Mus musculus: one gene and its partners. The protein of the gene in region 1 binds, or shares a complex with, the protein of each later gene. Links are inferred from orthologs where the notes say so. Each region holds a gene or a part of one and is shown in the gene's direction. Other genes may lie near its edges.

Evidence for each region.
Region 2: Srrm2 (region 1) and Scnm1 share a complex: the UniProt entries of both Homo sapiens proteins name them as parts of the minor spliceosome. The link is inferred for Mus musculus from reciprocal best matches to the Homo sapiens genes SRRM2 and SCNM1.
Region 3: Srrm2 (region 1) and Snrpe share a complex: the UniProt entries of both Homo sapiens proteins name them as parts of the minor spliceosome. The link is inferred for Mus musculus from reciprocal best matches to the Homo sapiens genes SRRM2 and SNRPE.

What each region holds. Positions count from the first base shown.
Region 1 is NC_000083.6:23,807,251-23,817,790, forward strand, and holds part of Srrm2 (serine/arginine repetitive matrix protein 2), read left to right. Parts: intron 1-815; coding exon 816-923; intron 924-1,103; coding exon 1,104-1,268; intron 1,269-2,718; coding exon 2,719-2,796; intron 2,797-3,162; coding exon 3,163-3,225; intron 3,226-3,488; coding exon 3,489-3,521; intron 3,522-3,780; coding exon 3,781-3,831; intron 3,832-4,388; coding exon 4,389-4,481; intron 4,482-4,566; coding exon of another isoform or gene 4,567-4,609; exon of another isoform or gene 4,610-5,177; coding exon 5,178-5,370; intron 5,371-7,871; coding exon 7,872-10,540. UniProt on the Homo sapiens protein: Required for pre-mRNA splicing as component of the spliceosome. As a component of the minor spliceosome, involved in the splicing of U12-type introns in pre-mRNAs.
Region 2 is NC_000069.6:95,127,606-95,138,245, reverse strand, and holds Scnm1 (sodium channel modifier 1), read left to right. Parts: upstream 1-4,233; 5' UTR 4,234-4,350; coding exon 4,351-4,401; intron 4,402-4,617; coding exon 4,618-4,688; intron 4,689-4,957; coding exon 4,958-5,046; intron 5,047-5,134; coding exon 5,135-5,229; intron 5,230-5,332; coding exon 5,333-5,421; intron 5,422-6,219; coding exon of another isoform or gene 6,220-6,259; exon of another isoform or gene 6,260-6,440; intron 6,441-7,887; coding exon 7,888-8,053; 3' UTR 8,054-8,082; intron 8,083-8,362; coding exon of another isoform or gene 8,363-8,462; 3' UTR 8,463-8,527; downstream 8,528-10,640. Other genes in the region: Lysmd1 (lysM and putative peptidoglycan-binding domain-containing protein 1), read right to left, coding at 260-621, 3,250-3,429; Tmod4 (tropomodulin-4), read right to left, coding at 9,136-9,158, 9,502-9,646, 9,834-9,977, 10,335-10,442, 10,527-10,640. UniProt on the Homo sapiens protein: As a component of the minor spliceosome, involved in the splicing of U12-type introns in pre-mRNAs. Plays a role in the regulation of primary cilia length and Hedgehog signaling.
Region 3 is NC_000067.6:133,601,176-133,611,815, reverse strand, and holds Snrpe (small nuclear ribonucleoprotein E), read left to right. Parts: upstream 1-1,535; 5' UTR 1,536-1,598; coding exon 1,599-1,652; intron 1,653-2,071; coding exon 2,072-2,098; intron 2,099-2,856; coding exon 2,857-2,919; intron 2,920-5,236; coding exon 5,237-5,315; intron 5,316-7,739; coding exon 7,740-7,795; 3' UTR 7,796-7,945; downstream 7,946-10,640. UniProt on the Homo sapiens protein: Plays a role in pre-mRNA splicing as a core component of the spliceosomal U1, U2, U4 and U5 small nuclear ribonucleoproteins (snRNPs), the building blocks of the spliceosome.

The sequences.
Region 1 (10,540 bases):
TGTTAGGTGGGATGTGTGGAAAGAAACTAGAGCTGGTGGAAAGAGTCTTAGAGAAGTTGTAAGGGAGGAAGAAAATGAGCTTGAAGAATTGAGAAGAGGCATGGGTCAGTGCATAGTGGGATGTCAAGGAAACTTTCTGGAGAATTAATAGCAGTGTAAGGGGGTTTGAATTACTTAGCTGAATTTATGAAGGGGAAGGGGAACATGAATGAACAAAAGCATGCTGTGTGGGAAAGGAGCATAAGGTAGAAGAGCCAGGTAACCTGATAGGTGTTGTTATTGGTAGGAGGAGAAAGGTAGGTGGATTGAAGGATTGTGGCTGTGGAAGTGGCAAAGGCAGAAGATCGGATTGAAAGAGAATTTGAATAGAGGATATCATGAGTTGTCAGAGAAGTGATATTTTGGAAAAGGAGCACATTCAGGCAGAAAACTGTTTAGAGCAGTGGTTTTCAAACTTTGAGCAGTGGTATCCTTTTATACATTTTGTCTTCCTTGAAGTCCCAGGAAATAAAAGATCTTTTCTTATTGAAGTTGGGAAGGAGCACTGGGAACTCCACCAGCAAGCCCTCCTCTCTTGGCACCTGAATTGTGTAGCATGTTTAAAATCCACTGTTCTAGAGAGCATAGTGTAGAGAAGGAAGGAGTGTCGTGGAGAAAGATGAGGAAAACTTAGGAACAATTTGAGTGACAGTGAGTACAAAATATTGTGTGCATGGAGAAGGAAAAAGGACCCTGTTGGAAGAGGAAGCATCTAAAAATTGGGACTTGGGAAAACTCCTGTCATGCTCTTAACCTTGAAGGGATTTATCCTTCAGGTACGAAGAACAGCAAATTCAGGAAAAAGTGGCGACCTTTCGACTCATGTTGCTGGAAAAGGATGTGAACCCTGGGGCCAAGGAAGAAACCCCAGGGCAGAGACCAGTGTGAGTGTTGTTCTCTTTTTTCCTTTTTTGGGATCTATGAAGTTACAGCTACTGCTGCCTTTTCTCTTTACCTGGGTAGGATTCAGTTTTGCCTTCATCTTCCTTAGTCCCTAGCCTAACTGTTTAATTCCTCCTTATAACTAAGTTCTAAATTAGGGCTCTGATTTTTGCTCTTTTCAGGGTAACTGAGACCCATCAGTTGGCAGAACTGAATGAGAAGAAGAATGAACGACTCCGTGCTGCCTTTGGCATCAGTGACTCCTATGTGGATGGCAGTTCTTTTGATCCTCAGAGACGTGCTCGAGAAGCTAAACAAATAGCTCCTGAGCCTCCCAAACCATACAGGTACTCAGGAGAAAGGCCTGAATCCCTTCCTGGATTAAACATATTCTATTATATTTATTACTAGAAGACTATTTCCAAACTTTATTTTTATTTGTTTTGTTTTTTGAGACAGTATCATTATGTAGCTCTAGCTGTTCCTAGAACTATGTAGAACAGGCTGGCCTTTAAATTAGAGATCTATCTGCCTCTGCCTCCTAACTGTTGAGATTAATGGCATTTATTTGCCATGACCCATGGCTTATTGCCAAACTCTTAGATTTTGTTATTTTGGAGTCAATTTTAAAAAAGAAAAATGTATGAGTTTTTGTTTATATGTATCCTTTTATAAAATGCCCTGGTGCCCCTGGAGGCCAGAAGAGGGCATTGGATTCCCTTGGTGCTAGAGTAACAGATGGTTCAGCATCCCTTAGTGCTGAGAATAGACCCCTAGCTACAAAAAGCAGCCTATGCTCTTAACTGCTTATCAGTTCCTATTTTTACTTTTTTGTTTTGTTTGTTTTTCGAGACAGGGTTTTTCTGTATATAGCCCTGGCTGGCCTGGAACTCACTCTGTAGACCAGGCTGGCCTGGAACTCAGAAATCCACCTGCCTCTGCCTCCCGAGTGCTGGGATTAAAGGCGTACGCCTGGCTTATTTTCACTTTTCTAAAAAATTATTTAAGCTGGGTGTTGTGGTACATGCCTTTGATCCTAGTACTCCAGGCAGATGTAGGCAGATCTCTGCGTTCCAGTATAGCCAGGGTTACATAGTAAGACCTTGTCTCAAAACAAACAATAAAACTGGGTGACACATGACTTTAATCTCAATATTTTGAGGGCAGAGGCAAGTGGATCTCTGTGAGTTGAGGCCACCTTGCTCTGCAGTAGGTAGTTCTAGGACAGTCAGGGATATATAGTGAGACCTACCTTAAAACATAAAACACACACACAGATGCACACACCCAGGATTTACATCCGAGCCGCCCCCCCCCCCCCCCGGATTTTTCTCTGTAGCCCTGGCTGTCCTAGAACTCACTCTGTAGAACCTGGCTGGCCTTAAACTTAGGAGATCCACCTGTCTCTGTCCTCCTAGTACTGGGATAAAAGGCGTGTACCACCGCTGCCTAGCAAATTTAAATCCTTTAATTCTGAAGTTTTCAAGCACAAAAAAAATTGGTGTGTAGCAGTTGTCCTAAGGTGAAAGTTATCAGTGAACTGCTCCATTTATTTATTGGGGTAGTATATTTATTCATTAGAGTGATTTTTTTTTTAAATGTATATGAGTGCTTTGTATGCATATAGATTTTGAATGCCAGAAGAGGGCATCAGAAGAGGGCATCAGATTCCATTATTGTGAGTGGGTGCTGGTAATTGAACTCAGGACCTCTGGAGCCATCTCTCCAGCCCCTAAGGTGAAATGTTTTAAAGAAATATGTCTTGCTTGGTATCTAGAATCTCTTTGCCTTTTTCAGCCTTGTTCGAGAGACCAGCAGTTCTCGCTCACCAACTCCAAAGCAAAAGAAGAAGAAAAAGAAGAAAGATAGAGGACGGTAAGTTGGTTGGAGAGTTACACTAGTATCCAGGGGTTACTGCCTGTTGTTGGACTTTTAGAAGTTGAGTTTGCTTTTAGGTAGCAGAGAATCAAATTGCAGTGACAGTTGAGGGAACAGAATTACTTTTTAGGTTTCAGCTGAGAGGAAATGTGTATACTTAGTGGGAAATCATTGATTATGTAGCCCAGCCAAAAAAGGAAGCAGTATTTTGGATTTGAATTTTATGCTTACTGATTGAATGTAAAAGTGAATTAAGTGTGGCTGTTGATGGTGTTGGATTTTTCTGGTGCTTTTGAAGCATTTTTGAGAATTATAGCCAGAAAGAAAGCCAAGTAGAATGACTTGCTTCTGAACCCATTTTAGCAGGTCAGAGAGCAGTTCTCCTCGACGAGAGAGGAAGAAGAGTTCAAAGAAGAAGAAGCACAGGTATGAGATAAAAAGTTCTTTTTGTTGTTTTGGTTTTTAAAAACAACAGGGTATTTGCATAGCCTTGGCTGTCCTAGAAATCAAAATATAGACCAGGCTGGCCTCTGATTTGGCAGAGATCTATTACCTCTACCTCTGCTGATTAAAGAAATACAGCCACCACCTCTGGCTAAGGTGGAAGTTCTTGGGGGTGATTGGAGGTAGCTCTTAAATTGAAGGGTAGGTGTGGGTTAATAATGATTTTCTGTATTTTTCACAAACAGGTCAGAATCTGAGTCCAAGAAACGGAAACACAGGTAAGAAAGCTTTTTGTTCTTAGGGGAGACATAGTGGTATATGGGAGTGGTGAGTTACTGTTTGATGACTTTGTTTTACTCTATATTTGGTCTGTAAGATGTGTCCATCTCCCCCTCCCCCTTTGTTTTTAGTAGAGCACAAATCTTTAACCTACTTGTTATCAATAATACTTGCTTGGGTTGTTACTTTCATTTCACTTCAGATTCAGATTTTATTACTATTTTAAAATTACTTTTTAAACATTTCCTTCTTTTCTAGGTCTCCTACTCCAAAGAGCAAACGCAAATCAAAGGACAAGAAGAGGAAACGGTAAGTGTGTTTGGGGGAAGTAGAAAAATGCTTCCCTTGGGGAAGGATTAAAAATAATTGTGCCAGAGAGAGAGAGAGAGAGAGAGAGAGAGAGAGAGAGAGAGAGAGAGAGAGAGAGGGAGAGAGGGAGAGAGGGAGAGAGAGGGAGGAGGTAGAGGCCAGCCTGGTCTACCTCTGGTTCAGGAAGTGAAGGCCCTTTTTATCAAACCTAAAGACCAGAGTTTTATCACTGGAACTTAACGTATTGGAAGGGGAGAGTGAACTCCTATAACTTGTCTTCTGACTTCCTTTTACATACTTAATAAACTAAATGTAATTTTAAAAATTTTTTTAATATTTTTTGACAGAGGGTCTTTTTATGTAGTTCAATTATAGAGTCCACGCTCTAGATGAAGCTGGCTTCACCTTATAGAGATTGACATGACTGCCTCCCAAGTCCTGAGATTAAAGGCAGGGCCCACGATGCCAAAGCCAATTTTGTTTTTAAAAAGAAATTAGTTGGGAGAACTCATGCTAGGTATGACAGTCTCCTGAGCTTTGTGGTGGTTTTCCTTCAGGTCTCGAAGTACAACACCAGCTCCTAAGAGCCGTCGAGCTCATCGGTCAACTTCTGCGGACTCTGCTTCTTCCTCTGATACTTCTCGTAGTCGGTAAGGGGTGGTCCATGAGGAATGGAGGGAGAGGGAATGATGGGTTAATCAATTTAATATTTATTGAGCGCCCACGGTGTGCTAGGCGCTGCACAGACCATTCCGAAGACACGGTCCCTGCCCTCTAGGAGCTGACAGGCTAAAGCAACAGGATGGACAGACATATACATTTCCCCTTGTCTTTTTTTATTTTATTTTATTTTTATTTTTTGTTTGTTACGATGTATATGGACTGCCAGAATAGGGCGGGGGTGGTTTGCTGGTTTGGTGGTGTCTGAGGGAGAAAGGAGTCCTTACCCTGGCTTCCTTAATCGGGGAAGGCTTCCTGAAGGAGGTGGGCTCAGAGGTGAGTTGTGAATGAAGTGGGTAGGGAAGGGCCTGGGTGGAAGGTTTGGGTATATTGGAGGGTGGTGAATAATGGGGTAGAGGGACTTTTATTATTTGGGATTATATTGGGAAGAGAGAGAACAACAAAAAAGGACTTGTATTTTCATTTTTGAAAATGAATTGAGTCATGTGACTAAGAACGTTTGTTTATTGTTTTGTTGGTTTTTTTTTTTTTGGTTTGGTTCTTTTTTTTTGGAAAAAAAAGGTTGTACATACAGGAAAGTGGATTGCTAACTGGGGGTGGAGGGGGTTTTCTATTCTTCTTTGAGCTGATTTTCCTGGTCTCCCCTGCCCTCCATTAACTCACAGGTCTCGAAGTGCTGCTGCTAAAATTCATACAACAGCCTTGACTGGGCAAAGTCCTCCCCTTGCTTCAGGGCATCAAGGGGAGGGAGATGCACCTTCTGTTGAACCAGGTGCCACCAACATACAACAACCTAGTAGCCCAGCTCCCTCTACAAAGCAATCTAGCAGTCCTTATGAAGACAAAGATAAGAAAGAGGTATGTTCTGAGTTGGTAGTGTTCATTGGGTTGCAGGGATTTATTTACTCAGGGATGTGCCTTAAATGGGCAAGTGTGGTACATAATGTAGTTTATTAGACAAAAATCTTGTCCTTTAGATTATGGTCAGGTTCAGAGATCAAGGTTGACAAGCAGCTATAGAAAGCAGTTACATGTGTGGGGGTGTATGTGAGTGGATTGGGTGGTAGTTTCAGAGAAACCAATAGTGTAAGCAAATATGAAGATTTTTAGACAGTATTCAAAGAAGATACAGAATGAGAGAAAGAGTTCTCTTCAGTTGGAACTCAGCAACATGGACAAGTTTAGTGGTGCATAATGCCATCTATAAACAACTACTGAGAAATACTTGAGTTCCTAGCCCTACATTCCTCATTCAGTTTCCAAGTCCTTTTACACACCTACAAGTATTTTAGAGTTATGACCCACTAAATTGTGAAGTCTTCAGAATGAAACTTCATTGGATATTAGTAAGTTTTATATCAGTAATTTGTTTATATCCATACAGAGAACAAAATGGTTTATTTTTTTGAAACCAGAACATTTATTTTATGACTGATTGAAATCCTAAAGGTGAACTGGATGCTACAGCAGCTAAAACTGCCCTCTTGGGTTGAGATGTTGTTCCTTCAAGGAATCCATGTCTGAATGTGGGATAAACAATTTTAGGCTCCTCATCCACCCAGACGCAGTAGTGCTTTGTCTCTTTTAGTCTTGGGACTCCAATAATACTCTTGCTCTTGCCACAATAGCCACATTTGCCACAGGTCAACTTCTGAAGGTGGTGGTTAAGTGCCTTAGTGCCATAGAAGTGGCACATGTACATCGAATTATGACCAAGGATGATGTTTTCTTTTGTCATCTTGCTTCTGCCCAACAAAAAGTTTTCTTTTTTTTTTTTTTTGATTTCTTTTTTTTTAAATTAGGTATTTTCCTCGTTTACATTTTCAGTGCTATCCCAAAGGTCCCCCATACCCACCCCCCAACAAAAAGTTTTCTAAAAATTACCTTTAACTTTACTACTTAAAGTATCTATATCCTTTTTATTGTATGCTTGTCATGAGTTCTTACATTTTTCAATCCTTTGATTTGATGCCACCAATCTGAAAGCATGAAAGAATTATCTTTTTAGTAGTTCCTGTTTTATATTCTCTATTCTAGTTCTGTGGCTGATTGTTTCTACTGGTTTCAGTAATTAATGTAACTTAATATTTCCCGTATTGTGTCTCATTTTAAAGATAAGTTACAAGAAAACTTTGCTGCTTGCTATGGTGTTTGTGGTGTTTTCTGTAATTAAGCTGTTTTTATGGTTTGGCCTGTTCCTGTAAGACCATGGTGAATTAATTTTTGTGTGTATGTATGAGGGGGAGGCAAATGTGTTACATGTGTTTGGAGGTCAAAGGACAAAACTACCTATATATGTGTTCTGTGGATTGAACTCTGGTTACCAGGCTTATGTTGCAAGTGCCATCTCATTGACTGTTGGTCAGTATGTTTGTTTTTGAGACAGGGTCTCCTTACATAAGGCCCTGGCTGTCATGCAACTTAATACATAGTTCAGGCTAATCTTAAACTCACAGAGCTCCACCTGCCTCTGTCTCTGAAGTACTGGGATTAAAGGCATATATGGCCATGCCAGGCCCCTCTTGATAAAATTTAACACATTATACACTTTAAAACCTTGTGCCCATTTGTGATATTTTAAGTCAGTCCATATTCAGGTGAAAGTTATTGTCACCCAAACTTTCTCTTTTTGTTTAATTATACCTTTTTTGGGTGGTGTTGTAGTGTTCATTTGCAACCCATACACAACGTCAGACACTTTCCCTTGAAAAGAAAAAAACATTCAATAGAGATGACTTGCTTGATGAGTTTAAAACACTCATCAAAAGATATTGAGTAAGTTTAAGAGAACAATGTACAAAGCAAAAAAAAAATTAAGAGGTAAGATAAAAAAAAAGGAAAATGACTTAGTAGGTGAGTAATTGGTTGCTAGTGATAGTCTATGTGTAACCCCAGTATGCAAAATGGAGACAGGGCTGTCTGTCTATAAGGTGTACCACAGGGCAGGTGGTATTTTGTTGGTAATGCATTGTTTACATTTTCTTGTTTCTCTGAATTACTACTTGAGGTTAGAGATTGTTTATATGGTCAGGTTTTTCCCTTGCTACTTTATTTTCTCATTGTTAAAAATGCATTTATTTTGTGTGTGTGCATGTGATACATGCACATGTGCAGTTCATAGAACAATTTTGAAGAGTAGGTTTTCTCTTTGCCACCTCATGGGCCCATTAAGCTATCTTACTGGCTCCCAACTAAGCATTGCATATTGTCTTGTTACTGAGTATAACTATGGGTAGGGAAAGGGTCAATTGGTATAAGAAGTATATAGTGTAAAATTTTATTAGAAACTCTTCGTATCTTATAGGATAATGAGGTTTTGGTGTTTTTTTTACTATTCCTACTTCTCTTTTCACTCTTAGAAATCTGCAGTTCGACCTAGCCCCTCTCCGGAAAGGAGCAGCACAGGGCCAGAACTACCTGCCCCTACTCCGCTCCTTGTTGAGCAACATGTCGACTCCCCACGACCCCTTGCAGCAATCCCGTCCAGTCAGGAGCCAGTTAACCCCTCATCTGAGGCTTCCCCAACCCGGGGCTGTTCACCACCTAAGTCTCCTGAGAAACCTCCCCAGTCTACTTCCTCAGAAAGTTGCCCACCATCCCCTCAACCTACCAAAGGTTCTCGGCATGCCAGCTCTTCTCCTGAAAGTCTTAAACCCACACCAGCTCCTGGGTCCCGTCGAGAGATTTCTTCTTCACCCACATCTAAGAATCGCTCGCATGGCAGAGCAAAGCGGGATAAATCTCATTCTCATACCCCATCTCATAGAGCAGGGAGGTCTCGTAGTCCTGCCACTAAGAGGGGACGGTCTCGATCTAGAACCCCCACCAAGAGAGGTCACTCCAGGTCCCGGTCCCCTCAGTGGAGAAGGTCAAGATCTGCACAGAGGTGGGGAAAATCTAGAAGTCCCCAGAGGCGTGGCCGTTCAAGGTCTCCTCAGAGGCCAGGTTGGTCCAGGAGCAGAAATACCCAGAGAAGAGGCAGGTCTAGGTCAGCAAGGCGAGGCAGATCACATTCTAGATCTCCAGCTACTAGGGGCAGATCCCGATCTAGAACACCAGCTAGAAGGGGTAGGTCTCGGTCCAGAACACCTGCCAGGCGAAGATCACGATCCAGAACACCTGCCAGGCGTAGGTCTCGGTCTAGAACACCAGCTCGCAGGGGCAGGTCCAGATCAAGAACACCCGCTCGCCGCAGGTCTAGGACACGATCACCAGTTCGAAGGAGGTCTCGGAGTAGATCCCAAGCTAGGAGAAGTGGTAGGTCTAGGTCCAGAACACCAGCCAGGAGAAGTGGCAGGTCAAGATCTAGAACACCAGCCAGGAGAGGGAGGTCCCGGTCTAGAACGCCAGCCAGAAGAAGCGCTCGATCTCGGTCTAGAACGCCAGCCAGGAGAGGGAGGTCACGATCCAGAACACCAGCACGACGACGATCTCGAAGTAGAAGTCTTGTGAGACGTGGAAGATCTCACTCTAGAACACCACAAAGAAGAGGACGATCTGGCTCATCCTCAGAGAGGAAGAACAAATCTAGAACATCTCAGAGGAGAAGCAGATCCAACTCAAGCCCAGAAATGAAAAAATCTCACGTTTCCTCAAGACGGAGCAGGTCTCTTTCTTCACCACGATCCAAAGCAAAATCTTTGAGGCGAAGCCTTTCAGGTTCCTCTCCATGTCCTAAACAAAAGTCACAGACACCAACCAGGCGAAGTCGTTCTGGTTCTTCACCACCTAAACAAAAGTCAAAAACACCACCAAGACAGAGTCGTTCAAATTCTCCTCAGCCTAAAGTAAAATCTGGAACACCACCAAGACCAGGGTCTGTAACAAACATGCAGGCTGATGAATGCACTGCAACACCACAGAGACAGAGCCATTCTGAATCATCACCTGATGGTGAGGTGAAATCAAGGACCCCATCAAGACAAAGCTGCTCTGGGTCTTCTCCTCGAGTGAAATCTAGCACACCTCCAAGACAGAGCCCATCTAGGTCGTCATCTCCACAACCCAAAGTGAAGACAGTGATATCACCAAGAGGAAGAAGCCATTCTAGCTCCTCTTCTCCAAGTCCTAGTAGAGTGACATCTAGGACACCTCAGAGGAAAAGCAGATCAATATCTCCTTGCCCCAAGGTAGACTCTAGATTAAGACATAGCCGTTCTAGATCCTCCTCACCAGATTCCAAGATGGAACTGGGAACACCACTGAGACACTCAGGATCTACATCTCCATATCTAAAAAGCATGCTCCAGACTCCACCAGATCAAAATCTTTCTGGATCAAAGTCACCCTGTCCCCAGAAGTCTAGGGATTCACCAACAGGAAGCTCTGGATCTTTTCACCTCTGTCCAGGTGTAACACCTAGTAGTATAGTACCAGGAGAGAGCTGTTTTAGCGCCTCATTTGTGCAACAAAAAGGACACACTCAAACTTGGCCAGATACTTCAAGTCCAGAAGTCATGCAGACTCAAGTGGAATCTCCATTGCTGCAGAGCAAATCCCAAACATCTCCTAAGGGTAGCCTTTCCAGATCTTCATCTCCAGTCACTGAGCTGACAGCCAGATCACCAGTAAAACAAGATAAAAGTGAAATATCAACAGATCCAAAGCTGAAGTCAGGAATGTCTCCTGAGCAGAGTAAGACTAAACCTGACTCTAGCATATATCCTTTAGTAGACTCTAAATCTTTTCTGGTGCAGAGCAGATTGGAGCCTTCTGAATTAAAAGAGAGACTGGGTTTAATTCAAGAGGATGTTGCATCATCTTGTATACCAAGAGACAAATTTAGTCCTACACAGGATAGGCCTGAGTCTTCCACAGTACTGAAAGTCACACCTAGAGTACTATTAAAAGAAAGAAGTGGAGCTGGCTCACCTCCAGGCAAAAGAGACCAAAAAAGTTTATTACCTAATTCAAGTCAAGATGAACTAATGGAAGTAGAAAAGTCTGAGCAACCTTTAAGCCAAGTTCTACCCAGTTTATCTCCAGAACATAAAGAAATGCCTGGAAGTAACATTGAGTCATCTCCTGA
Region 2 (10,640 bases), on another chromosome or scaffold:
GGCTTCATCCCAGCACACTGGCGTAAGACCCCACAGACCCTGCCTCCCACGCGCTACCACTGGCGTAAGACCCCACAGACCCTGCTTCCCACCCACTACCCCATTCCAGATGCCACTGGCTCTTTCATGATTTGGGGACCACATGGGGAGAAAGGCATCCACTTGCCTGTCCTCGGGTACTTTGGTTACTTCTTAGTTTGTGACCAGCTAAAAGAAGAGGGTCTCTGCAGGGAGCTAGAAGGAGCGGCCAGAGACTCACCCACTCTCCCCTTTCCTCAGCTTCTGGGCAGCAGCCTTCTTTGACAGGCTGATCTGTGAGTCAAGCTTCTTAAGGAAATCAGAGGCAGAAAGGTCATGGCTGGGGGTGGAGGTTTCCTGGTGAGGCGGGAGGCCTGTGCCATTGGGCCGACCCGACCCTGACCCTCGATTCTTCCTCCTCCCCGAAGATGATCCGATCTCATCCTTACTCGGGCGCACCTCTTCCTCTCCATCATTTTCCTCCTCAGAATCCAAACCATTAAACAAGTCTCTGGGCTCTGATAGGATGGGGATGTAGAGCGTTTTCTTCAGGAAGATGGAGTCGTTAGTATAAAGGCGGTTTGTACGCTTAATCTGTTCCATCTTCAAACAAAAGCAACGAAATTAATGTCTGACAGTAAAATCCACCAACCTCATAAAACATAGCAAGCTCTTTTTCTTCCTTTTCACTAAGTAGAGCAGATGTTCTCAAACATTTCTGGCTTAGTATTCCAAACTTATTGGTGTGTGTGGTTGAAAACAGTGTACTTGGGGGTAGAGCCTGGAGGCTGCTATAGGGTTTACTATGTGTGTGTGGCAAGCACTTTTATTAACTGAGTTACCAAATGAGCCATCTTCCTAGGCCACCAATTCAAAGTTTTTAAGTAATCGTACAACATTATTTGACACCATAAAAAACTAGCTAAAATATAAAGAGCTGATATTAATCTTGTTTTATAATTTTCATACTTTTTAGTCTTAGGATACCTTCACATTTTTAAAAATTATTGAGGTGAGGCTGGAGAGATGGCTCAGACATTAAGAGCACTGACTGTTCTTTCAGAGATCCTGAGTTCAATTCCCAGCAACCACATGGTGGCTCACAACCATCTGTAATGAGATCCAATGTCCCCTTCTGGTGTGTCTGAAGACAACTGCAGTCTGTAACTTCAGATCCAGGTGATCTTCTGACCTCTATAGGCACCAGGCACCCCATAGCAAATGGCCATACATGCATGTGTAGCCCTATATGTCCTTGAACTCACTCTATAGACCAGGTTCACCTCAAATTCAGAGATCCACCTGCCTATTCCCCCACCAACCCACCCTGTGCTAGGATTAAAGGCATGTGCTACCACTCCAAGCTAATAGTGCAATTCTCTAATCCCAGCACTTGGAAAGCAGAGGCAGGCAGGTCTATGAGTGTGAAGCCAACTAAACTACATATTGAGACCTTGACTAATAATAAAATAAGTAAATAAGTCTTGGTGTCTAGAGTTGTAGCTCCATGGTAAAGAGCTTGCCTAGTGTGTGCAGTCCTAGACTGGACCCCTGGCAGACCTCAGATATTAAGTAAATAAACACCTCACATGTGTTCTCTCATACTTGCGCCCACCACGGCCACACGTGACTGTTCTTCCTCTTTCATGCCCACATCTTTCTCTTGATATCTAGAAAAAGCTATTAACCCTCTTGCTGGCATAGCAACTTCCTATGGCTCTTCATTGAATGAGGATTCAAAAAGGATTCAAGGACTGTGTATATTTAGCCCCCACAGGAAGTGTCTAGCCTTGTCTCTCTTCTGCATTCTACCACTGAATTACACTTTCAACTCCAGTACCCTGGTTTTGTTATATGTGGAGCTGGCCTAGAACTCTGCATCCCTTTGACTTAGGCTCCTGAGGGCTAACATCAGAAGTTTGGCATGGACCACCAAGTCTGGCTTTCAGACTTTTTTTTAGACCTGGCTGTCCTGAAACTCACTCTATAGACCAGGCTGGCCTCCAACTCAGAAATCCGTCTGCCTCTGCTTCCCAAGTGCTCGGATTAAAGGGGTACACTGCCATGCCTGGCAGCTTTCAATCATCTTTTAAACTCCCACATGACTGAGACTATGCCAGGGTTTAGAGGCACAATGTTGAAAGGAACTGATTTCAGCTCTTAAAAAGCTTGTGGGCTGCTGGAAGACAAGGATACAAACAACTGGGTTGAACAGATTTGTAGGTGGGAACAGAGGGGAAAGTTTCTAGGTCTTCAAGGCCCGTGGTGACGGTACTCCTAAGCCTGCACCTCAGAGTGTGGTTGTCACACTCCTAATCTCAGCAGTCATGATGCAAGAACACCGGAAGTTCCAGGCCACACTGTCTAGAAAATCCACCCCCCACACACACACACACACAAAACCCCACATCAAATACTATCCACTCCCACTTCCGAGCAAGACTCAATAGTTCTGGATCTCCGACCCCTTGTGGATATTCCTTACAGCATTTCTTGTTTCTTCTCTGCTCCTCATGAGAATTTAAATTCCATGAGCACATCGACAAACGTATGCTGTGTCTCCAGAAAGGCTTACCTTATGCTTTAAGTAGAGTGGCACAGGAATTTATCTAAACCCAACATTTGTTTGTATGTGGTAAAACAGGATATAGACAGGAAGGCTGCAACTTTAATGCAAGATATTTTTTATGCCCATCAAACCTCTCCTAAAGATGACCTGAAACACTTGAAGTATGTAGAGGGGACTTGTTTTGTGCCTCTGCACAAAGAAAACAGAGCCTTGGGGTGGAAATAAGAACTACAAATGGGCACCTTCAGAGTGCTAGTAAAAGTCAGCTCTTCCTTACCAGTCTCTACATCCCCACCCCCACCCCTACCCCACCCCCGCATGGCTAATAGTACCGGCTTTAGAGTCAGACAGAAACCTTACTCTGACACTTAAGTGATTCGACCTTGATCAAACTGGTTTATCAGTCTTAAGTTGATAGGGACACAAGTCCAGTTAATGGCTGTAAGCCCCGCCCCCACTCACCCACCTCCCTCACCATCTACAGGAGTTGCTCCTCCCACTGGGATAGTTGGGCAGATCTGTCCCAACAGTGCTCTGCTGAGATGTGAAAGCAAAATAAGGAAGAAAAAAAACAGACCATAATAGAATTTAAATAATGTGAGAGGGGGCATCTTAGCGGGCCACCCACTTTCTCGGGACTATCTCAATTCTGGAAGACTCACCGTTACCCCGTATTTGAGTGCTAATCCAGCCAGGGTGTCTCCAGGCTCCAATTGATGCTCCAGGCGTCTTTCCCTCACTGGGGAGCAGGATGATTGTACCAGGCTTCCATAAGAACGAGCACGGCTCCCATGCAGCAGCCCTGACCCCCCGAGGGGAGGCTGTCTAGAGGGAGAAGCCATCTCCTCACTGTCAAGACCTAGGGTCACAACTGAGGGAAGCCCAGCTAAGTAACAGTGACGGCCGAACCCAAGGAATGGATATTCAGATAATTCGTTTTCTCTTCTCTCGTCTCTCTACAGTCTCCCGACTCTCGAGAGACTACATTCGTCGTCCTCCTCTTGCTGCTTCTTGCCGTGCCTGGAGTTACTGTCCGTCTCTTAAGAAGTCTGCCAGGCCGGTTACATTTCTCTTTCCACGAGCTCCTTACCCATAAGTATCTTCCCTGAGCTGTCAGTCGCTGACCCGGTTGACTTTCGACGCCCCCTCCCCAACTCCTCGCAAGCCTGATCTCTGACCTTTGAACCCTAGACACCCTCATCAACACTCTTCCCTCAGTGTATCCCCACATCCAACAGTCGGGATGCCGGGTGCTCCCACATCCTCTCTGTTCCAAATAAGGCCCACCCCAGGTAGGTTGTGGCTGAGGAGTACGAGCCTGAGGACAGCAAGAGTTTGTAGTATATAGTCCACTGAGATCCCTGACGCCTCGCTCCACATCAGGAAGGTCCCACCCTGAAATTCCGGCTCCACATACAGGATCTTGAGTCTCCGAACACCTGGATCCTTCGAGATGTGAGGTCCTGTGTCCAGGTGAGCAGTGTGCTCTTCAAAAAAATAAAAAAATAAAATAAATAACCAAAAGACTTCATTTCCCAAAAGGCACAGCGTCTCAAAGTATTGTAGGAAATGCAGGCCCCCTCAGGGCGCTGGAGGCGGGTCTTCCGGTTCGCGCGACGCAAGCGTGGAACATCATCCCCGGAAGTACAGATTCAACAAGAAAGAAACCGGAAGCAGAGAAGGCGATAGTGTACTCTTTCTACGGTGGCCTAAAGGAGCAGCGAAGTAGGCGTAGGGGAATTTATCGTAGTCTCACAGTCGCTATGTCTTTTAAGAGGGAAGGGGACGACTGGAGTCAACTCAATGTGCTCAAAGTAAGCCTTAGTGAGAGTCTGATCACCTTCAGCCGCCCTGTTGTTTTGTTTTGTTGCTCTGGCGACATCTAGGGGAGGGCTTAGGGGACCAGAACTGAGTGGTGACCCCTACTACCCTATGATCTGCATAGCCCCGTGTGCCATTTGACTCCTTATCCATACTATTTCATTTCCATCCGTCCCTCTTACTCATTTCTCCTATCCTGCTCCCTGCAGAAACGGAGAGTTGGGGACCTGCTGGCTAGTTACATCCCTGAGGACGAGGCACTGATGCTGCGGGATGGACGGTGAGAGCGAAGAGTGGATCAAGCCTGGGGATTCGGGGATCAAAGGCTCAACAAACTTTTGTCACTAAGGAGTTCAGGAGTATAATAGGACTCTTTGGCTGGAAGTGAAGTGTAAGGGGTGGAGATCGGGAAACCTGGGAGTTGGTGGTGGAGTACTCTGACAGAAGTAGGACCTACTCACCATAGCAAGAACACCCCGACTGCAGGCTCTCGAACACACAACATACACACCACACACCACACACATCATTCACTTCTCGTTTCCCTAGCTTTGCTTGTGCCATCTGCCCCCATCGACCAGTACTAGACACGCTGGCCATGTTGACAGCCCACCGTGCAGGCAAGAAGCATTTGTCCAGTAAGTATCAGAGAAGTGGGGAGGGCGGGAGATGGAGAGCAAGCCACCAGGCATTGTGCTTTTCATTCCTCCTTGCTTTTGTTCTCAGGTCTGAAGCTTTTCTATGGCAAAAAGCAAACAGGCAAGGGAACAGAGCAAAATCCAAGACAGCAGAACGAATTGAAGACAGAAAGCAAAACTGAGGTGAGAGGGCATCAGGTGTGGTTTAGACAGGGCTATACTTCACACAACAGGCTTGAGGGAACGTTTGCTCCTAACAGCTCTAACTCTGTCTCTTCATCACCAGGCTCCTTTGCTAACCCAGACTCGAATCATCACCCAGAATGCTCTACACAGAGCTCCCCACTATAACAGTTGCTGCCGGAGGAAGCACAGGTCCGTGGAATGGGAAAGCCAGGAGTGGAAAAGGGTAGAAGGAAATAGATGACTTTAAAGTTATTGCTCTCCAGATTGTATTCTGAGAAATAATAATCTTGTGGAAATATTTTTTTTAAATGATGGTAGGGGCTGGACAGATGGCTCAGCAGTTAAGAGCACTGACTGCTCTTCCAGAGGTCCTGAGTTCAATTCCCAGCAACCACATGATGGTTCACAACCATCCATAATGAGATCTGGCGCCCTCTTCTGGGGTGTCTGAAGACAGCTACAGTGTACTCATATATATAAAAGAAATCGTAAACCATCATTTTTTCAGGTTTTTTGTTTTTTGGGTTTTTTGTTTGTTTGTTTTTTGAGACAGGGTTTCTCTGTGTAGCCCTGGCTGTCCTGGAACTCACTCTGTAGACCAGGCTAGCCTCAGAAATCTGCTTACCTCTGCCTCCCAAGTGCTGGGATTAAAGGCGTGCACCACCACTGCCCGGTGGTTTATGATTTTAAAATAAATTTTTTAGCAAGTGGAAAATTGTAGAATAATCATACTTATTAGGAACATTAGGGCTTGGTGAGATGCCTCAGTGGTTAGGAACGCAGGGGGCTCTTCCAGAAGTCCTGAGTTCAATTCTTAGCAACCACATGGTGGCTCACAACCATCCAAAAGGGATCTCTTCTGGCATGTAGGTACACATGCAGACAGAGCACTCCTATATTTTAAAAAGTGCAATAAATAAATACATTCAAAAAGAGAGAATTGTAACATTAGTAGAGCACGGTGGTGTACTTTTTGTTTGTTTGTAGCCCTGGCTGTCCTGAAACCCTGCTATTTAGACCAAGGTGACCTCATATTCACAAAGATCTGCCTGCTTCTATCCCTCAAGTGTTGGGATTAAAGGTGAGCACTCCATGCCTGGCCTTGGAAAATCTTAAGACAAAAACTTAGAACCAGCCGGGCAGTGGTGGCGACGCCTTTAATCCCAGCACTTGGGAGGCAGAGGTAAGCAGACTTCTGAGTTTGAGGCCAGCCTGGTCTACAGAGTGAGCTCCAGGACAGCCAGGACTACACAGAGAAACCCTGTCTCGAAAAACCAAACCAAACCAACCAACCAACCAAACAAACAAACAAAAAACTCTTAGAACTATGTATTAGAGCATAAGGAATATGGAAAGTTACAAAACTTATGGAATATCTGTCTATATTGAGGTAATTTATTGTAATGACTTACAGTTTGTAGTCATGTTGTTGGGTTACAACAATGGGCAGCTGTGAATGAGAAGTCTAAGAATCTAATAGTTGCTCAGTCCCACAAGGCTGGTTGTTTCAGCTGGTCTTGTATAAATAGGTTCTAAAGATGTGCTTGGCAAGTAAGTGCAAGCAGTGGAAGAAGAGTGAGTCTTCCTTCTTCCAGTGGTCTTATGTAGGCCTCCAGCAGAAGGTGTGGCCTACATTAAGGCGTGTACACCACACCTGGATCTGGGACTTGCTTTGTCCCAGGCTGACTTTGAATCAGAGTTCTCCTTGCCTCCTGGGATTAAAGGCATGTTATACCTTGCCTGGACCTAAGCTTTTCACAGCCACTGTGCCTCAAGATCTCCATGCCAAGATCCAGATCAGAAGCCTGAGTCTTCCAGCCTCAAGATCTGGATCACAGGTGTGCCCCCCAATTCTGGAATTTAGTTCATTCCAGACATAGTTGACAACTAGGAATAGCCATTACAAACTATTAAGCTAGTTTTTCCTCAAATTCCTTTTTTTCTCCTTTATTTTTTATTTTATGTGCATTGGTGTTTTTCCTGCATATATGTCCGTGAGGGTGTGAGAGGTGGAGTTACAGATATTTGTGAGCTGGCATGTGGGTGCTGGAAATTGAACCCAGATCCTCTGGAAAAACAGCCAGTGGTCTTAAACACTGAGCCATCTCTCCAGCCCCAGCTTTTCTCAAGTTCCTAATTCCAAGGTCTTTCTTTTTTTTTTTTTTTTTTAAAGATTTATTTATTTATTTATTTATTTATTATATGTAAGTACACTGTAGCTGTCTTCAGACACTCTAGAAGAGGGAGTCAGATGGTTGTGAGCCACCATGTGGTTGCTGGGATTTGAACTCCGGACCTTTGGAAGAGCAGTCGGGTGCTTTTACCCACTGAGCCATCTCACCAGCCCTCCAAGGTCTTTCATATGTAGAATATTTAAGATCTTAAGGAACTGGAGCCAGGCAGTGGTGATGCATACCTTTAGTTCTAACACTTAGAAAGCAGAGGCAGGTGGATCTCTGAGTTTGAGGCCAGCCTGACCTACCGGAGTGAGTTCCCGTCAGCCAGGACTTCACAGAGAAACCCTGTCTCAAATATCAAACAAACCAAAGTCTGAAAGAAATCAGTTTCAAGCGCTGCTCTTCTGGCTTGGGGGCCATGGGGAAGTTGCTGCTTTCCTGTACTTAGTTTTACACACTTTGGTTCTTCACTGCCCAGACCAGAAGCCCCTGCTCCCTCTGTCTCCAGTCCTCCTTTGCCAACTGCAGAGGTCCAACTCCAGAGTGCAGAGATCAGTAAGGAACCTGAGCCTAGGGAGAGATCAGATGCCAAAGAGTCAGCAGCTCTCTTGGCCTCTGCACCCATGAGCCCCACCAAACGATGAGTCCTGAACCATTACCTTACCCTCCGAAGGTGAGTGAGTGCTGGATTGCGGTCCTTGGGTTTCCTTCTATTTCCCCGGGACCTGCCTGTTTTCAGACCAATCCAACTGCTTTTTTCTTATCACCAGTAACCTTTTAAAAAATTGTATTTGCTTATTTATCTTTATAGGGGCACACTTCTGTAAGTCTGAGGGCAGCTTACAGGGGTTGGTTCTTCCTTCCTATGCTGTAGGTTCCTGGGATGCAACGCAGCACAGGAAGCCTTTCATAAATCTCCTCCCTGACCAGTTCTCTTTCTCTCCTGCTCGCAGCTCTGGATGGGTCCCAGATGGACGAGGTCGATGGATAAAGGATGAAAATGTTGAGTTTGACTCTGATGAGGAAGAGCCCCCCGATCTCCCCTTGGACTAACATTAATAACCCCTTTCCCCATTTGTCCTACAAATAAACTGCAGTGGGTCCTGGGAGCACACTGATCCTGGAGTCCGGTTCCTTGTTCAGTCTCAGGATTTCAAGTCTGCTCCTTCGCAGGCTGGCCACTCCTTCCCTACAAGGTACATGGCTCCCCATACTTCTGGCCCCTCCTCCACTTTCTCTCAAAACCTTGCCAAGCGTCAGCTGCTTTCAGCCCGGTGCCCTATTAATAAGTCTGTCAGAAAGAGGTCGCTGCCCTTCATGGAGTCTGACTCCTTCCCCGCCTCCAGTGAGTCCTTTTCTCACAGATCACACTGTGGCTAGGCACTAAGGGGCTCTGGCCACCTCTGTCTACAGCTTTGTCACAGAGGACTGAGGCCAAGTACCCTGCTGAGAGACTAAAGCCTTTGGCAGATTTATGGGGAACACAACGGACAGAGCTCCCCCTCTCCTGGTAACCTGAACCCCTGCCTGCTGATCCCCAGAGTATAAATAATCTCTTGATGAACTGGCAGTAACCCTTGGAGGGTAGCGCCAAGATTCCCACCCCAATCCAGGCAAGGAGACAGGCGGCGTGAACAAAAGGGATTTTATTTACAGGAAAGGAGAGAGAGATGAGGATCTGTGCGTCCCAGGCTCTCATCTCTTGTTGGTAAAAGGAAGGGTGATGTTATCTCTTCTTTTGCTGACGACCTGGAAAGGAAGAGCCGTAAACAGAGCTCCATTTGTTGTTTTGGCAAGGGTGCGTTTCTTTCCTTTCCTTGGGCAGACTCATAAGGTGCTGCCTCGTGCCATCTGATGGGCCCGTTTCATGTTGAAAAAACAAAGTCAAGAATACACACCTGAAAATAAAGGGACTCTAGGGGTACAATCATGCCAAGCTCCCCACCCCTACCTTCTCTATAGGTGTGTATCTGGGGAAGGACTTGTCTGTCTCCCTGTTATTCAGCTCCACTCATGTTTGCCACCACCCAAGCATTTGCTACCGAGTGTGTCTTTCGAACCTGCCTTCTCTGCACGGGGTCTAGTTACTCACGCAGCTCATTGTTCCGGGTCATGGCGTGGGCTGCCCGAGCTCGTGGTCCTTGTTGTGTAAAGTGGTACCCGAAGCGGACAATAGACGGACACTGCTCTAGCACAGTGGCCATCTCCATCTCTACCGCATCACCAGGCCACTGGCGCTGGAGGATGGATGGAGAGGTGAAAGCCATCAGATATGAATGGCAGTTCACCACCCCGGCCCATGGGTCTCTGGGAAGTTAAGAGGCTTGAAGAGAGTGCAGGCTCCCTTCCCTCAGAAAATAAGCTTCCCAGGGAGAAACTCAATGGGTGCTAGCTGAATGTCAGCCAGGGGAAGGGAATGCTAACCTGGTTATCTACACGGAGCTCAGTGAGAGTAGCATTTTCCCGAACTGCCTTTAGCACAGCCATGAGCCCTGTGCTGCTGATGAAGTTAGACTCAATGTTCAGGCTCTGGAGACTGCGGTTCTCACGCAACATGTCAGCCACCGCCTGGGTGGTAGGGACTTGTGTTAGGGTTAGGGGAAGGGGCCAGTTCCACAGGTGACTGTGGAGAGACAGAATGGGAGCAGGAGGAAATTGCTTGAGGAACTGAGTAAGTTGCCGGTGGGATGGAGCGCATTAGAGAAGCTTAGTGTGTGTGTGTGTGTGTGTGACGGGCGCGGGGGGGTGGGAATGACCTCGGGCCTGCAGAATTGTGAGCCAGGAGTAAGGGTAGGGGGATTTTGAGGTCTGCCATAAGAAAACATGATGGGGATAGCACCCCCCCACGTGACCCTTAAGACAGCCCTTGCCAGGGGGTGCATGCCAGGGTATGGGAAGAGGACTGGGGATGTCAGCTAGCCTTACATTGGCGATTGGGTCACCACTCTTTGTGGCCACCAGACTGAAGCTCCGGACATAGGTATTGGTTTTCATTGCTTCACACAAGTCACTTAGCACAGGTATTGGGATGTCCTGAGGGGGCACAAGGGATGGTGAACTGCGAACCCTCGTTGGTCAGTAGCTATTCCTGTTTCTATGGGGATGGGAGTCTGATACCTGGATATTATTGAGGTTCACCTCCTCCAGCTCTTTGTCATTACTCCGTACCCTCTTTAGCATCTCCTCAATGTTTGTGGGATTTGGAGGTTCATCTGGTACTGGCTTATACTT
Region 3 (10,640 bases), on another chromosome or scaffold:
TCCAAAATCCTTTCAAGGCTCAGCTTCCTTGTTAGAAAGAGAATATTTAAATAAATGTTAAATATTAAATATTTTAAAATATTAGATAGACTTTGAACCAGGCCACAAGCCCTGTCCTAACAGAAAACTGAGTAGGCTTGCCTACTACTAACATAGGCATGGTTACTAACTAACATAGGCATGGTTACTAACTAACATAGGCATGGTTAATCAGGTTAATCAGTCCCTTTTCTTGCTACTTGTGTTGTGGGGTGGGGGACGAGGCTTTAACACACACACACACACACACACACACACACACACACACACACACATCCAGATAGCTCCTGACTTACAATTCTTCATCCTAAAGATGGTGTGAAAGCAATATGAATTCTGTAAAAAAAAAAAAATCAGACTTTGCATTTTAAATTTTGATCATTTCCCTGGTAAGCAGCTCTAGGTACTTTCTGGTGAGGTGGGGGGCAGCTGCAGCTTCAAGAAAGGCTGCTATGTTGTGTTGCTAAGCGATGGCATTGAGTAGACTAGGCATATACATTTTCAACAATTTTCTGTGTGCATGTGGAGGCCAAAGGATGTCATCAAGTGTCCTTCTGAGTCACTCTTCACCCTACCTTCTGAGACAGGGTCTCTCATTGAACCTAGGACTTGGCGATTAAGTTAGACTAGTTGGCCATCCAGCCCAGGCACCCTCCTTCCTGTCTCTGGAATTACAGGCATGTAATTTTGTGTAGGTGCTGGTTGACAGACCTCATGTCCCACCTACCGAATCATCTCCCCTGGGCCCAAGGTATCTGCATTAAATGCATTTTTTTTTAACTTACATTTCTAACTTACCTTAAGTTTATCAGGTTGTATACCATGTAGGTTGTTTTGTTTTGAAACAAGGCCTCATGTAGCTTAGATCTGGAACGTACTACTTAGCTTAAGGTCATACTCACCTTGCGCCTTCCACAAGCTGAGATTACAGATGTGTTCTAGGAGCACCTGTGCACTACTACCTCCCTGAATCTTCACCTCCTGTCCCCTTGCGGGACGGAGATGCTGAGGCCTAATGACTTAATTATCACCGGTCACACAACTGAGAGAGATCTGAGTCCAACAAGCCGATTTCAATACCTCCAAGCTAGTTAGATTGCCATCTTCAGTTGCCACTGCAACAGTTAACTCTGCATAAAGGTGATGAGGGTTGAATCTGTTATTGAACAAGCCACAACTCCACCACTGCTTCGGGCATGACCATCTAGACTAGCTCTGGGGCCCAAAACAAATAAGGGGAGTCTGCAGATGGTTCTGGACAAGATGCCGCCTCTAAATTCCAGAGCAGCTCTCAGAAGAGCACCTAGGCAGAGGCAAGCCTCTCAGCCTACCTCCAGGTGGCGCTGTAGGACCGACCTCGACTTCAAAGAGCGGTTGAGTCGGAAGGCCGCCGGCGGAGTCTATCAGCATAGAGAAAAAGCGGCTCCTGGCCTAGAGAGGCGTTCCCCAGGACCGGCCCGCGTCGCCGACGACCACTGCACTTCCGTTTCCGGGTCTTGCTTCCGGAAGTCGCTTTCCGAGGCGGCCTTCCTACTCGTGTGGTCTTTGTGACTTCCACCATGGCGTACCGCGGCCAGGGCCAAAAGGTGCAGAAGGTGATGGTGCAGCCCATCGTATCCTACGCTGCGTGAACTCGGGGCTTTGGGGGCCGTAGGCGCCGTGAGCGTGGGCGGGGAGCCGGGCAGCCCGCTGCGGGCCGCTTCCCGTGAGGCCCTGGGGCGAACGGGGAGGCAGGAAAGCGCGCGGAGTTGAAGGGCGGCGGGAGGCGGGAGGCGGAAGGCGGGCTCCGGGTGGACCCGGCCAGGCTGGCGATCCGCGATGAAAGCGGGGGATACCGAGGAGGAGAGGAGGATGTGGGCCATCGGGAAGGTTGGAGAAACGAGGGCGGTGGGGAGGGAGCGCATGCTCCCGGCGGTCGTTTGTGCTTGCGGATGTAGCCCGGCCGGACCTTGGGGCGCTGGAGAGTCCGGCGCGGTTGGGAGCGGAGGCTCCGCTGTTTGTGTAGTTCTTTTCCTTGATCGCCGTGCTGCAGAACCTTATCTTCAGATACTTGCAAAATGTACGTAAGTTGTTTCCTTACTGTTACTGAAATGAAAGTTGGGCCTGTTTGACTCTTTGTAACAAATTCTCTGTTTCTAGTGCTTAGACTAAAAAATTGGGGGGGGGGGAGAACCAGAGTTGAGGATAAGGTCACAGGGAAAGCGCTAATTATTAATATGTCCGTGCTGACTTAAGGATGCACACAGTTACCATTATTCTGTAAGAACAATGTAATTATATTTACTATTAAAATTACTCTGTAAGAACGATTTGTCATCGGATTTAGCAGTGACAGTTGCATAGTGCTTTTTCCATAGTTGGACTTAGAATGGAGAAAAGACACCAAAGCGGGGTTTGGGGGAGTGGGGGCGTTATATACAGAGAAGCGAGTGGCAAATGCTCTTCTTTGAGGAGATTTTAGCGATGTTTATTTTAGAGTGTTACAACACAGATGAAAAATCGTTTTAAGCCATTGTAATTTTTAATCGCCAGATTCGCTTTGTACTATCCTGTGAACAGTTCTAACTGTAAGTGTATTCATGCCAGAAGCAAAAATAAATTTTCAGAGTAGGAAAATTAGTTTGGACAGGCCTGCCCGAGCACTTATTAAATGTTTCTCAGCAGGTTAACCAGTGTTGCTAGCTCTTAGATGAAGACTAACTAGTTCTAGTTTTTGGCTTATATTTATTGGAATTTTTAAGATAAGTCGTTTATTGTGGAAACAAAGTAATGGAGTGGGATTTGTTTACATTTCTAAAGTCATTATTTTTATTTCAGAGATCTCGAATTCAGGTGTGGCTGTATGAACAAGTGAATATGCGGATAGAAGGTTGTATTATTGTGAGTACCCAGGCTATTTTTCCTCAAGTTGTTATTAAAAAAGACATCTCAGAAGATGGCCAGTAAGAACAATATACAAGGCGTCAAGGACCCAACCCAAAGAAAGCTCTTCAGAGCTGGAGTTATTTATTTAGCCTTTTCTCCTTGCTCTGGTTAATAGGGTTAGATAATACTTCTCTTAAGAGGAAGGGAAGGGAGAGGTTAGGCGGTGGTGGCGCACGCCTTTAGTCCCAGCACTCGGGAGGCAGAGGCAGGCGGATTTCTGAGTTTGAGGCCAGGCTGGTCTACAGAGTGAGTTCCAGGACAGCCAGAGCTACACAGAGAAACCCTGTCTTGAAAAACCAAAAAAAAAAAAAAAAAGGAAGGGAGAGTTAAGACTTTTAAGAAGAGCTTCGTTTGTGAGGAGAGGGAACAAAAACAAAATGAGAGGGGGGCGGGGAGTGATAAAGGACTTGCATTCTGGATTAGATCATGCCAGAATAGAGCTGGTGGGGGTGAGACTTATGGTTTGTTAGGCTTCTATCGTGATGGTGTTGGGGATCAAAGTACCTGCTCTACCACACAGCTACCATGGCAATAAGTTTTTGTTGTTATTTTAGATTTATTTGTCTGAGTGTTTTGCCTGTGTGTGTTTAATGCCCAAACAGGCCAGAAGTTGTTGGCTCACCTGAAGATGGGTGATTGTGAGCTTCCATGTAGGTGCTGGGAACCAAACCTGGGTCCTTTGCAAGAGCAGCAAGGAAGGATTTGTAACTCCACCACCTCTCCCGTCTCTGTTTTTCCTTTGTGTGAGGCAGAGTCTTTTAAGAGAGACTTACACATGGAAATCCTCTTGTCTGAGCCTCTTCAATGTTTAGATTAATAGCCATGAAAATGGAAAAAAAATTTTTTTAAAGATTTATTTATTTTTATGTGCAATGGTGTTCTGCCTACTGTTATTTGTGTGAGGGCACCAGATCCCCTGGGACTGGAGTTATCAACAGTTGTGAGATGCCATGTGGGTGCTGGGAATTGAATCTGGGTCCTCTGGAAGAAAAGCCAGTCTTCTTAACTACTGAACTGTCCAGCTCTGGCATTGTTATTTTGAGGCAAGAAATTGCTATGTAGCCCAGTAAAGGCCTTGAACTTCCCATCCTGCCTCAGCCTCCTGAGATTTACAGACGTGCTCAGCCTCACTTTTTTTTTTTCTTTTTTGCATCAAGGGAGTGAGTGGGGTTGCTTTGTACATACTCATATGTGTGGATGTATGTGCTAGAGGTATCTTTTATTGCTCTCTGCTTTTTGAGCCTGGAACTCATGGATTTAACAAGACTAGTTGGCCAGCACTAGGTGCGGCTGCAGGCCACTGTGCACTGCATTGTTTGAGTAGGGATCCAAACTCATGACTGCATGTACTTTACCAATTGACATGTCTCCCTAGTACCTACCCTTCCTCCCAAAGCTGCACAGTATTTTGTTATTTTATGTAGATATCAAGAGTGTCTATCAATACTCTCTTAGGAGTTGGTAAACAAGCACAGTAGTTAGTGGGAGTCGTGTTAGTGAGGAACATGGGTGTGCAGTGACAGAAGGCAATTCATGTGTGCACATGCCGAATTGGGTAGTGTCCAGCAGGCATTCCTGGCGAATATTTACCTCTAAGGGATTGAAGTACTTTGGATCTCATTCTAGCTTTCTTTGCTATTTAAAAAGAGGTAGGCTGGGGATGCAGCTCAGTAGTAAACCTCTTGCCTAATGGGTAGAAGTCGGTGCGCTAATCCTCAACACCATCTCTGCCCCCAAAAAGGAATGAAAATGCCCCCACGCATTGGGCATGTCACATATGACCAGGCATGGTGGCACATACCTGTAGTCTCAACACTTGGAATAGAGAGGATAGGAGATTTGTGAGTTTAAGGCTTTCCTTGGCTGTGTGGGAAGTTTAGGGCAAACATAGGCCACATAAGACGCTGTCTCAGAAGTAAGGGGCTCAACAGGTAAAAGTATTTACTATTCTTGCAGAGGACCAAGTTCAGTTCAAAGTATATACCTTTGATGGATCACAACTGCCTGTACTTCTGGCAGGTGGATCTAGTGCCTCTGCCCTCCTTAAGCACCTGTCCTAATGTGCACGCATCGATCCAAAAATAAATACATACAGGTAACACTTTAAAAGAATACAAAGTAGTTAATAAGTAAGTAGAGGCTGTAGGTGTTTGTGTTGAAAAATCAGTGATAGCATAAAATTCTAAAATTTGTTGATATTTCTGAATCTAATTATTCTTTTAGAATGGTCGGATGTGATTTGCTTAAAAATGATTGTCATTTGCCTTCCCAGGGCTTTGATGAGTACATGAACCTCGTATTAGATGATGCAGAAGAGATTCATTCTAAAACAAAGTCAAGAAAACAACTGGGTAAGGAGATAGTTGGCTTTACAGATTTCTGTTTATTTCACTGGCAGACTTGAATGGCCTATAGCTGAAAATTCATGCTATAAAGTTACATTTGAAGGGAGAAGCACACTTCTGAATTCATCTTCCTGCCACTTACTCTGTTACCCACTCCTTTGTTTTGTTCATTGATAGGGTCTCAGGTAGCCCAGGCTACTCTCAGTCTTGCTGAGAGTGACAGATTGAACTCCTGGCCTTCCTGCCTCCCCCTCCCAAGTGCTGGGATCATAGACATTCGCAACCATGCCTTGCCAAGGATGTTAAATCTGATGTCGTTTTTTGTGTTCACTTATATTTAACATTAAGTAGAATTTGACACAGTTCAATACTTCCTTGCAATACTTTGATATCTTGGGTTTGTGACATAGTATGTCAGTTTTTATTCAACTCTGGCTGTTTTTTTTTTTTTTTCCAGACTTCTTTATATTCATCCTTTTTTACCCGGCCATTAAGTATTTGAGGCTGGGTTCCAGCTCGCCCTTCACAGTCTTTCCCTAGGCCAGCAGTTCTCATTCTGTAGGTTATGACCCTTTTGAGAGTTGAACGATATTTCACAGTGGTCTCCTAAGACCATCAGAAAACACAGACATTTACAATATGATTCATAATAGTAGCAGAATTACAGTTATAAATTAGCAATAAAAACAATTTTATTGTTGAGGGTCCGCACAACTTGAGGAACTGTTATTAAGGGGCTGCAGCGCTAGGAAGGTTGAGAGGCTCTGTTCTAGGCTTCTAGTGTTCAGTGAGATCACAGCTCCAGGTACTAATCTGGGCATTGACTTCCTTATTTATGTGTATAGCCCAAACCTCTTCTGAACCTGTTTAACTTTCCACATAGAAGGTTTTTAAGGCAGCCTGTCAGAAGCCAACTTCACTGCCTGCTTACACTGTTCAGCGTGGGTTTGCTGATCACTTCCTAACGGAACAGTAGTTTCCACTAACTTACTAACTTTTGTAGCTCCCTCATCCATTTGAAGTTGCTCTCCAGATGTAGCCATCTTTTTGAAACACTGGGTCTGACCTTACCAGCTTTTGCTTGAAATTTTCCATTGTCTGTTTTTCCTGAGGGGACAGTGTGATGTTTTGGCAAGAGCCTTCTTATCTGGCCTGATGTTCGCTCATCTTGATTCACACTGTCCCATTTTCTGAGCAGTCTCCATGCTTGTCTCCTTTCAGTTTGTTTTTTGTTTTGGAGGGTTTTGGGCTGGATTTTTGTTTTTTGGGGGGAGGGGGGCTGGTTGGTTGGTTTGGGGGTTTCTCTGTAGTCTTGGCTGTCCTGGAACTCTCTGTAGACCAGGCTGGCCTCAAACTCACAGAGCTCACTGCTTCCTGGAGTGCTGGGATTAAAGCTGTGTGCCCCCATTGCCCAGCTCTTCTTTCAATTCCTTAAGCCTGCACATTGGCCTCACTTTCTGTTTGAGGTAGGATCTTCCTGTTTAGCCCAGGCTGGCCTTAACTCTGAGATCCTTGCTTCATTTTCTAAATGGCAGTGTTAACACAATTATCACGCCATGGTTATTACACTTGACTCCATCAAATATTGCTACGTGTATTGTTCACTGATCAAACTTTCTCTAGGAAACCCAAATTTAATTTAGTTTTTCTGGGATGGGAGAACACAAGATGTGATATGTTGACTCTGTAGTGAATCATTTATTTTATCGTTGCCTCTTTGTTAGACTGCATGCTCCCTGAGTGCATGAGTCATGTCCTCTCTGCTTCCAATGACCACCGTAGTGCTTCACATAAACTCAGAAAGCCCAGGGAACAAGAGGACCCATGGTCTCATTAAGAGATACTTTACTGAGGTTAGGTTATCTTTTGTTAGAATAGTCAGTGCTCACGTGCGTTTATTAGTGATGGAGTTCAGGTATCTCTTTCCCAAACCCTACTGACCAAAGCTAGATAGGTGGAAGGTAGATTCTAAGAAATGACTCTGTTTTTATTTGCTTTTGAGGTGCTCTACCTCTATAACCCAGGCTGTCCGATCTTACCTTAGCCTTCCAGTACTGGGACTGCAGGTGTGCACTGTCTCACGCAGCAAGAACTCAGGCTACTGCAGATGGAATTGAAATGTATACTTGACAAACACTCATTTCTAAACCCTCATGAACTTAGTATTGGGAGATGCTGTATTGGGCCTTTTCACTTGACCTAGACTATAGGAACTATGTTTCATTAAAACAGCGCTGTTTCGTTCTGTTACTGAAAGCCCAGTAGACCTGGTGGAAGCCTTCAATATGGACGATTGAAAATGTTCACATAGCGTTATGAGAGAGAGAAGTGCCTCAGTACTATTCAGAGCCAAACTCTGAGGCTGAAAGATAAGTAAATGTCTCTCTCTGATTAGTCACAGCTTTTGTAACACTTTTTTTGTTGTTACAGGTCGGATCATGCTAAAAGGAGATAATATTACTCTGCTCCAAAGTGTTTCCAACTAGCAGTGAATGGTGAAGTCTGTAGGATGTTGAGAAGACCCCTTGAGCGTGTTTAAAGATGTCTGCTGCAACCTGCATTTACTCAACTTGTTTTACTTGCACATTATTATTAGGTGACAATAAATGCTGTAGGAAGTTTTTGTTAAAATTTTACATTGTTTCATTCTGGTGGCAAAATGCTTTTACCTAGGGTCGGTATTTAAGGTTTCTGAGGGCTTCCAGTCCCCCTTGACATTTGCTTTTCTCGGAGCATGGATCTGTACGTTCTTGAGGCAGATTAAGAATTCTGCCTGCACAGGTAAGCTGCTAAGGTTGGTGGAAAAGGCTGGGGGGGAGGGGGTAATTGAAAATAAACAAGTTTTGTTTTTTACTAGTGATGTACTCATCAGTTCTAAGTGCTTGTCTGTCACACGTGAGGCCCTGTTAGATCCCCAGTGTTACAGAACAAAAACCCACCGCTGACTTCTGAGTACTGCGACACCAGCACTTGTAAGTGCAGGAGGTTGCAAACATGCTTGTAGTTCTGTTTGCTTAGCAATTACTGAGACACTGAAGAATTGAGAATCTTATCACTAAGATGAGAATGTGGAAAGCAGGTATGGTGTCCTGTGCCTGTAACCCAGCAGGAGATTGAAGAGGGTGGAGTGAAGGACAAGGTCTGTCCAGGCTAGATAGCAAGAGTGGCTCAAGAGCGGACTAGGAGGGAGGGTAGAGTGAGATACCTTTAAAGTACAAGTCAGATAAATGTAAAAAACTAATAGGAAGCTCTTGGGAATCTTAGTTTGGGAAAGACCACAAACACCTGGTAAATTAGTCGTTAGGTAAAATAGTAGCATACTGAAAAGACTTACTTGTTCTCATCTGTAAAGATTTAGGTTCCTTCCCAAATGATAATGCTAATTTGTTTGGCCTGCGGAATGTCTCAGTGGGTAAACATTTTCAAGCATGAGGACTGGAGTTAGCACCCCAGAACCTAATGACAGTTGGGTGCCTTGTGGTCTGCCTGTAATACCAGTCCTTAGGAGGTAGAAATGGAACCTGGAAACACCATCTGCAAACTGTGGGTTTAGTGATAGACTTCCCTAAAGTGTAAGATGGGAGTATGTGAGGAAGACAGACAATGTCAGGCATGCATAAACATGTGCTTCCACCCCTTAAAAAAACAAAACAAAAAACCTTGTTTTTTGTTGTCTGGGTTTTTGTTTTGTTGTTGGGGGGTTGTTTGTTTTGTTAGTTTTTTTTGTTTGTTTTCTGAGACAGCGTTGTACGTTTCTGGCCATCCTAGAACTCTCTGGACCAGGTTGGCCTTGAACTCACAGCATCACTTGCCTCTGCCTCCTGAGTGCTGCCGTTGTGAGCCATCACTATCTAGCTTTCTTCTTCTGGGTCTCTGATGAGGATGTGCTTGCTGACGACATAGCAGAAATACTGAGGTTGGAACAGCTTTCAAGAATCAGTTCTCCATGTGGAAACCAATTGGTGTGTGGGTGTTTGTCTGTCTGTCTGTATATGCACATACACTATGTATACGGGTGTCGTGGCCATCTGTGTAGGTCGGAAGACAACTTTGATGAGTAGATTCTCTCCTTGAGCCATGGAATCTAGGTGGCCAGCTCAGGTTGTTGCTAATACCCAATTGCCTTTGCCCAGCAAGCCATCTTAGTTTCTGTGTATGCACGTATCTGTGTATGTATGTATGTCTCTGAAACAATCTACTAGTGTCCATAGAATCAGAAGAGGGCATCAGATCCCCTGGAGCTGGAGTTACCAGCTGCTCTTGATGGATGCTGTGATTCTTAAGGATCTTCATGGTTGAGTGGTAGCTCTTCCTTTTAGCCAGTTTTCCACCCAGCCACTGGCTCTTATATTTTTTCTCTTTAGGTGCTGACTCGCTGGGTAATCCAGACTGACCTCAGATTCATGATCTTGCCTCAGTCTGCTGGGACTGTAGCCATGTATCAATATGACTGATGGGCTCCTAGTTTGTTTTATTTTGTTTTTGGAACAGGGTCTCATGTAGTTCAGTCTGGACTTTAATTCAGTATTTAGATGGATGTACCTTGAACACTGTACGTATCTTCGGCCTCTACCTCCCAAGTATTAGGATTGCCAGCATACATTATCATGTCTGGTTGTGTGTAGTTCTGAGGAGTGAACACAGGTTTCTGAGCATGTTAGGCAAACACTACCAGCTGAGCTACATACCCAAGTCTTAATAAATACCTCCTTCCTTGGGATTTTCACACACAGCCCTTAAGTTAGTATTCAAAGTAATACACTCACTGTGGCATTTCCATACATACGTCATTATACTGTAGTCTGATCAGCCCCCTCCCTTTCCTCTGTCTCCTAACCCCATCTGCCTGGATCCCTTCCTTCCCCTAAGTGGCCCACCTCCCTTTAGGTTTCCTTGATGGAACTTGTCTGAGTCTCCTGTAGTTTGCTTGGGATCGAGATTGCCCATCTTACCAATTTCCTTGTCAGTGTGATGATCTGATGTTTACAGATGAACAGGATTTGGCGTGTATTCCATGCTCTTTTATTCCATTCGTGTTAAGGGACATTTAGGCTAACTTGTGAAAAGTGCCACAGTAAACGTGGAAGTGCAAGTCTCTCCAATCTTTTGAGTCCGTGCGAGCCATATGACATTTCTGTGTCCCCACCCCCCGCATGTACCCAACAGGGTAACTGCTAGTCAAGTAGCATATGAAAAACCTCATGGGAATTTTCTCTTTATGGTCATGTCCACAGTAACATTTCTGTCTTTTGAGAAACCTTCATGCAGACATTAGTAATCACTATCAGGCTTGTGGCCTGAACAGCAGCAGTAAGTTTCTCTTTCCAGCAC